Mus musculus: one gene and its partner. The protein of the gene in region 1 interacts with the protein of each later gene in a biochemical or structural test. Links are inferred from orthologs where the notes say so. Each region holds a gene or a part of one and is shown in the gene's direction. Other genes may lie near its edges. The genes, in order: Klhl20 and Dapk1.

Region 1 (3,813 bases):
AGCCATCTGCACCTGCACCCATAGGTGCCTTACAGCCATCTGCACCTGCAGCCCCAGGTGCCTTACAGCCATCTGCACCTGCAGCCCCAGGGTTCTGCTGAAGACACCAGGCATGCACATCGTGCATATACACACATGAGGGCAAAGAAGATAGATAAGTAAATAAGTAAACAAACAAATAGGGCCACAGTTTAAAAAACAAAGCAAAACTCTACTTTCTAAATAGAGTGAGTTCCCTACCTCCCATAATCACCACCTCTCCTCAGTAGAAAAAGAATTCTTTTAATATAAGAATAAGTAAAACCTTAGAGCTACAAGCTTCTTTGCCTTTTCTATCTAGACCAGTGGTTCTCAAACTTCCTAATGCAGCAATCCTTTAATACAATTCCTCATGTTGTGGTGACCCCCCAACCATAAAATTAATTACTACTTCATAACTGTTATGAATCGCAATGCAAATAACTGATGTGTGACACACACCCCCCCAAAGGAGTCATGATCCACAGGTTGAGAATCACTGGTCTAGACATAATAGCTATTTTTATCTAAGGATATTGTCAGTGGCACACCATGAGATTCATTGTTATGTATCTTCGGTGGCTCAGAAGACACTAGGCAAACAGCATGGGCGAGCACGCCACTAATCCCAGCACTTGGGAGACAAAGACAGAAGGATCGATCATGAGTTTGAGGCCGGGCTACATAGTGAGTTCTAGGCTAGCACCACAGAGCAAGACTCCATCTAAAAAAAAGAACAAAACATGAATAAATAATCAAATAAATTATATGAGAAAAATAAAAGTAAAAAACCTGTCTAACTATAACAATGAATTTTTAATACTAAACCATTCTTTTAAGTCATAATCAAGTTCCACCCTACTAGAAGATAAGGAAAGTGCATATAACTAGTTATGTAGCCACAACTAGAAGTTAACACATGCCAGTTCCTTAGAAGATGACTGTAAGAAACTGGCCCCCAATGTAGGAGCTAGAGAAAGTACCCAAGAGCTGCAGGGGTCTGCAACCCTATAGGTGGAACAACAATATGAACTAACCAGTACCCCCAGAGCTCATGTCTCTAGCTACATATGTATCAGAAGATGGCCTAGTCGGCCATCATTGGGAAGAAAGGCCCCTTGGTCTAGCAAACTTTATATGCCCCAGTACAGGGAAACACCAGGGCCAAGAAGTGGGAGTGGGTGGGGAGGGGAGCAGCGTGGGGGTAGGGTATAGGGGACTTTTGGGATAGCATTTGAAATGTAAGGGGGTAGGGTATAGGGGACTTTTGGGATAGCATTTGAAATGTAAATGAAGAAAATATCAAATTAAAAAAAAAAGAAACTGTTTCCTGATCAGATTATTTACTGAAAAGTAGGTGTCTTGGCCGTTGGAGTGGCTATGAAGAAGGAAGCAGGTTTGTTCTTACTTACTGATCTTTGTCTTCACTGCAGTGGAGCGCTACAATCCTCAGGAAAACAGATGGCACACCATAGCGCCTATGGGGACCCGAAGAAAACACCTAGGCTGTGCGGTGTACCAGGACATGATCTATGCAGTGGGAGGGAGAGACGACACTACAGAGCTTAGCAGTGCTGAGAGATACAACCCCAGAACTAACCAGTGGTCTCCCGTGGTGGCCATGACATCCCGCAGGAGTGGAGTAAGTGCCAGCTACTGGGAGCTTTGAGCTTTGCAGGCAAGCACTGAGAGGGGGTGTGTAAAAGGAATTCTCTAAGCTGTAAGCTGCACTAGGACACTGCGCGGTGAAGGGCTGCTGTCCATGTGCTGTATTTCCAGCGTCTCAGCTGTCAAGACGCTTTTAGGCAAAACAGAAAAAAACAAAACCCAAAAAGCTTGTATTTCTTTTGATTGCTTTTAGCTCCAGTAGCTAAATATTTTCTATTCATTCATATATGTAATTGTATACACTATTTTTTTTATTTACCTTTTACCAGCCACTTCGCTGGACAGTATCTTTCCTATATCATCCCCTATCTAACTTACGTAAAATAGCATTAACTATTCCTGTATGGTATTCCTAGCTAATTTTTTCAAGTAGACTTCGTATACTGATACAAACAGTAAAGCATACCTGGCCCTTCTACGCGTCTTCCAAAGGTGGTTTGAGAGTCTGCCCCATCTATAATGTAGGCCACATCTGGCTGACCTGTTGTCATGGTCTCAACCACAAATGAATGTCTGGTCACTAAAGAGATGTCCAAATGGAACATAAAATTCACCTTTGGGAATGTTTGTCTCAATGAACCCTAACCCATTAAGCATTGATTGTGGCAGGAGTCCATCAGTGTAGGACACATACTCAAAGGAAAGAGAAGCAGACTGCACCGAGAGACTCCCTCCCTAATCTAAGGATAAAAAGGAGCAAGTTCTGGTTTGCGTACATCAAGGCTCAAGGGGAAGAGTCGTGTGTTCTGTGTCTCTATTTATTCCTGGGAACTGACAGCTTTCAGATCTATCCCTGTGATTCCCACTGTCCACTTGATTCCATCTTCACTTACTTAGAAGGCAAATGTCTATAGAATTCTTGTTATGGTGAAGGAGACTGAAATGTTTACAGTGTCTACAGTAAGGATGTGCTGTGGAGTGCTGTATGTGACAGAAGGACGTGGGGGAATGGGCTTAATGCACATGAGTTACTCAGCCCTGCATACTGATTCGGAGACTAACAGTCCAGCATTCCAAAAGCACAGAGTTCATTAGGAGAGGGGGAAATGTAGGAGGCAAGGCCAAACGTGGTGGCCAGATTTCTAAAAGCTTGAGTAACATTACAGACCTAAAACCTGTCTTAGGCAGAATGGAGGCTTAGAAGTTTCTGAACAGGGGCTGGAGAGATGGCTCAGTGGGTAAGAGCACTGACTGCTCTTCCAAAGGTCATGAGTTCAAATCCCAGCAACCACATGGTGGCTCACAACCATCCTTAATAAGATCTGATGCCCTCTTCTGGTATGTCTGAAGACAGCTACAGTGTACTTAGATATAGTAATAAAATAAATCTTTAAAAAAAAAAGCAGTAATACAAAAAAAAAAGAAAGAAGTTTCTGAACAGGAGTGATATGTTTATGTTCATGTTTTTAATAATATTTTAGTAGCAATTTAGAAAGTGGATTAGAGTGGGCAAACCAGAAGTGAGAGCAGGTTGGAGGTTCTTGTTCGTGCCAAGTGAGTGGTTCTCTACACTTTACAGATGCATCTGACTCTGCTTAGGCGCATATGTTAATAAAAGGCCTAACCTGATGTTCCCATCGTTCATGGAGTACTGCTCCCTTTTCTCCCTGGCGTCATGCAAAGTGGAATCTAAGCGATCTGAGCGTCTCCCTAGAGACTGTGAATTCCCCGCGGCTTTCTCGGCTCTCAGCAGCCACTGTGCTTTGCTCCCACAGGTCGGCCTGGCCGTGGTCAATGGACAGCTTATGGCAGTGGGGGGCTTTGATGGCACAACATACTTGAAGACCATTGAAGTTTTTGACCCAGATGCCAATACGTGGAGGTAACCTTTAGACTTTTCAAGTCTTCTCATTTCTAACTTGAAGTCATGGGCTTGAGAAAGATCCTGACCACCAAAAGTGGGATAGCCAACTTACATCCTCACGTGGTTTCCTGAAGGAAACTGAAGTAACCCAGATATGATGATACATTTTAACTTGGTTATTCTAAAGTATCTGATAAAAATATTCCTAAGTTCTTCTAATAACCATCTTTTTTTTTGTTTTGGTTTTTGGTTTTTCGAGACAGGGTTTCTCTGTGTAGCCCTGGCTGTCCTGGAACTCACTCTGTAGACCAGGCTGGCCTCAA
Region 2 (4,378 bases), on another chromosome or scaffold:
TTTCTTTCTTTCTTCTTCTTCTTTTTTTTTGGCAGATGTATTTATTTGCATGCTTCCCAAGTAAATCACCCTTCTATTTATTTGGTTGTTGTTGTTTTTGGTTGCTGTTGTTATTTTTATTGTATTTGTCAATTCTCAAGATCTTCTTGTATTGACTCTCCATCTTAGCACTTAGGCCAGTGGCACATTCTAATCTCCTTCTTCTATCGTGCCCGCTGGACTCTTTCCTTGGGCCGTTAGGAATACCTTTTTGCTGTTTGTGTTTGTTTGGAGATGCGTACTCCAGCCTCACCTTCAACTTTTCCTACAGCTGAGGCTGGCCTTAAGCTCCTGATCTTCCTGTTTTCTTCACCCATGTGCTGGAATTACAGGTGTGTGCTACCACTCCTAGCTGGAGACGGAGTTAAGATTAGGATCTGATACATTCTTTTGCTTCTCTTTGTTCTTTTAGGCCCAAGCCTCCACGGTTGAAAATATCTGTTGAATGGAGAGTTTGAGCAGTGGTGTGGATATGAACTCTTGGCAGGTTCACGGATGAACCTTGGCGATTCTAGGCAGCAGGATAGAATCCCCTTTAGGAACTTTATTAAGTCAGGAGCACGGGGAGAGAGACATAATGGTTTCACGGGTGGACCCAGAGTGTCTGCGCAGACTGGCCAGTCCTCAGCAATCCAATGCAAGGTAAATGGCTACTGTTCTGACTGTAAAACAAACAAGCAAACAAAACAAAGCGAGTGTAACTATTTTAATAAAGTTTTATTTAACCCGATAGGTCCAAAGCACCATCATTTTGACATGTAGCTAATATAAAGACACACATACGGCGATTTTCGTTCTTTTTTTTTTTTTTTTTTTTTTTTTAACACAGTCTTAAACAGTGTCTGGTGTGTATTGAAAGCTTAATACAGCTCAAGCTGGACTCGCTGTGTTTCAGTTGAGCAACCACAGTACTGACAGCCTGTGATAGTTCAACCTTTTTCTCCCTGGATCTCAGACATCTCAGCTCAAAACAAGCGGCGGGAGACGCCCCCTCTGATGAGGCCCCTGCTGTCCTCTCTCGGTTTTTGTTGTCAACACAGAAGAACAGAGCGACCTCATTTATAAGCTATTTGTTTGCTATCGTTTCCATCGGGGTGTGGGCGCCTCCGGGGCAGGACTTTATTGATTTCTGCTCTATTTTTTTTTTTTTTTTTTTTTTTTTTTTTGTGGTTTTCCAGGCACGGAGCACGTCGCCTGGCCCACACGGATCCTTGGGTTCACACTCTGAGAGGACGAAAGCCTCCGGCTTCTTCGAAGCGGGCGGCAGAGGGCAGCCGGGCGCCGAGTCACAGGTGGGGCGCGCGCTCGGTGCGGGCGAGTGGGTGTGTGCGGGGTGCGCGCGGCGGGGCGGGAGCGCGGACCGGGAGGAGCCGCGAGCGCAGCGGAGGAGGAGGGCGCGGAGGAGGTGGTGGCTGCGTCCCCGCGGGGCCGAGCTGCGCCCGACGCAAGGAGCGGAGGCCGCTCGGAGCTGCCGGGGACCTGGACCCGCCGCGGGGCTCAGGGCGCACGAAGCGACAGCTGCGGGACCGGGTGAGTGGCCGCCGCAGGCAGTGGGAGGAGCGGGAGGGCGGCCGGGGCGCCGGGCGGGGGAACAGGTGGCGGGGCAGGGCGCTTTGTGTCCCTTCCCCGAGCTGTCCCCACGTTGTCCGGAGGCGGAGGCAGGAGCCCGGGAACCGCAGGCACGGGGCTGGGGCGCGGCAATGCGGGGTGTGGGGGTCCCCCAGCCTAGACTTAACAAAGGGCGCGTGGCCCCTGCCCGCGGGAGGCCTCGAGATCGGGACCCAGCCCCTGGGACCCCGATTTTTTAGAGTTTACCGTCTCATTCTTCTCCCCATGTCTTTCAGAGGTCTGCGGCTTGGTGCATGAGGGGCTCGCAGCAGCGAGGCGGCGGTGGGGATGGTTCGGGCCGCGGAGCCGGAGTGGCCTGGGCTTTGGTGAGGCGTGACAGTCTATCATGACTGTGTTCAGGCAGGAAAACGTGGACGACTACTACGACACCGGCGAGGAACTGGGCAGGTACCAGGAAGGGGTGACGGAAGCGCGCGGTGTGTGTGTGGTGGGGGGCACTGCGCGATAAACAGATGCTGCTTAAACCGGGCATGTCCCTGACTGGCCCTTCTCTGAGATGGGCGGATAGCAGAGGAACCGGTGCCTAACCAGCTAAAGCCAGGGACCATGAATAAACTGCCTGATCTGAGGGGTGGAGAGGCAACCCACAGTGCAGTTACTGTGCACAGGGTATGGTCAGAATCCCTGGATAAGAACAGACTTCATTGTGTGCACTACTAACTCCTGTCAGCCTTCACCCTTTTGAGACAATGAGGCAAACGCAAAGATTCTAACTGCAACTGGAGGGACCACCCATGTGTGTTTTAAGCGGCGTACAAGTTAATTAATGGGCACTTAAACAATTCTCTCCCCTTGTGCTAATTTTCAGTGCAACACCAGCCAGGATTGGTAGGCAGGCGTGGAACTTGCCAGATGTTGGCCTTGGATTTTGAAACTTCTTCCAACCAGGAATTTAATTCCCGGCTTGGTTAGTGGTGGCTTCGGTGTCATTTATGGCGGCTGTCTAGATTCAGAGCGTACCAACACGCTGTGGGGGGTGCGATGCTGAGCAGAGTGTGTCAGTGTCTAGGTGCACAAAGAAGATTTCACTGGGAGCCCTTGACGAGTGCTGGGTATCCATTAGCCCACCGAGTGTATTGATCTCTGCTGTGTGCGCAGAGAGCCCAGTGTTCATACCTAGATTTAAAATTTGTCTTGTGAAATTTGTGTATTGGCATTGTGACAGAAGCAGGCAAACGGGCTTATAAACAAACGTACTTGCAATTACTCACACAGAGTGTGTATTGAAGTTTGTATTTTTCCATATATACCCCATGGCCTCATACCAAGCTTCTTTTTTAATTCATGGGCAGGGAACTGAAAAGGGGTGGGGGTGGGGGTGGGGGGGAAGACCTATTACCTAATAGGATTTTGAAAGATATCTAACCAAAACTTTGTAATAATCCAGACAGCCCAGGAAAGAGAGAGGTCTAAAGAGTTACTGTACAGGATGTGTGTAAGTTCAGTGTAGCCTGGAGGCATCGGTGGAGCCTGTGCAGAGGAAGACAATACTATTATCTTAAATCTTAGTAAGTAAATAAAAGGCAGGGTTCTGAAAGATCACATTTCGTGGGTATGGAGAAGACTGAGGTTGAGTGTGCGGTTGAAATACTTGATTTAACTGGAATTCAGCCACTCTCCTTCTATGGTTTATAGCAAGATGAATATGTGTGTGTGGAGGGGGTGGGGGGTGTTTAGAAAATAAAAAAGGGTGGGGAAAAAAGGGTTTGATACCATTTCTGTGAGGTTAACACATTCTAGAAATGATCTTGCGAAAAGGGATGGGAAAAAAATTAGGTGAGCTGATTGCTTTATGAATGAAATTCATCGACTTTGTTTCCCTTAAAATCCTTCTTCCATGGATTAAGAGAAAGGGGAGGGGGTGGGGCGTCCCTGTGGTTAGCAAGTGGATTTTTGATCTTCACTTCGAGCTTGTAATGACAGGGATGGCGGTTCGCTCATTTGTCACTAATGTTTCTCTCTGATTTTGGCTCTTGTCTATGCTTCTGTGTCTAACTATTCTCCATGAAAGACTAATTGATGAGTTGTTTGTTTAATAATTCATGCGACCTAGGAATCTTGAAGAGGTGTTCTGGAGTAACTGGGAGTTGGGATTTTTAAGAAAGAAAATGCACAGCTATTGTGATAGCTGCTCTTGATTTTGCCAAAATGTGAAGCAGGTAAAGGTTGGCTTTTTCTAAGGATGTCCCACAACCTGTGGTTTTATCCTGTCTTGGACATCATCACTTCTGCCAAAGAAGCTCTGATGGGAGGGGCACGGGCAGAGAAGATGCGGCACGAGTGATGTCATATGTCTCTGGAAGACTGGGAGTGGAGGGAGGGGCTCACAGGCAGAGAAATGGAAAGAGACAGGTATGTGGCCTGAATGCGGGGTTGTCTTAGTTAGGGTTTTACTGCTGTGAACAGACACCATGACCAAGGCAACTCTTACAAATGACAACATTTAATTAGGGCTGCCTTACAGGTTCCGAGGTTCAGTCCATTATCATCAAGGCAGGAACATGGCAGCCTTCAGGCAAGCATGGTGCAGGAGGAGCTTGAGAGTTCTATATCTTTATCTGAAGACTTCTAAGGGAAGACTGACCTCCAGGCAGCTAGGGTGAGGGTCTTATAGCCCACACCCATGGTGATATACCCACTCCAACAGGGCTACACCTTCTAATAGTGCTACTCCCTGGGCCAAGCATATACAAACCATCGCACAGGGTGA

What was found.
Region 2: the proteins of Klhl20 (region 1) and Dapk1 are reported together in a solved structure, tested with the Homo sapiens proteins (2 studies listed by BioGRID and IntAct, with this or other methods). The link is inferred for Mus musculus from reciprocal best matches to the Homo sapiens genes KLHL20 and DAPK1.

The regions. Positions count from the first base shown.
Region 1 is NC_000067.6:161,093,376-161,097,188, reverse strand, and holds part of Klhl20 (kelch-like protein 20), read left to right. Parts: intron 1-1,451; coding exon 1,452-1,660; intron 1,661-3,401; coding exon 3,402-3,508; intron 3,509-3,813. UniProt on the Homo sapiens protein: Substrate-specific adapter of a BCR (BTB-CUL3-RBX1) E3 ubiquitin-protein ligase complex involved in interferon response and anterograde Golgi to endosome transport.
Region 2 is NC_000079.6:60,600,542-60,604,919, forward strand, and holds the start of Dapk1 (death-associated protein kinase 1), read left to right. Parts: upstream 1-1,405; 5' UTR 1,406-1,569; intron 1,570-1,645; exon of another isoform or gene 1,646-1,718; intron 1,719-1,883; 5' UTR 1,884-1,993; coding exon 1,994-2,055; intron 2,056-4,378. UniProt on the Homo sapiens protein: Calcium/calmodulin-dependent serine/threonine kinase involved in multiple cellular signaling pathways that trigger cell survival, apoptosis, and autophagy.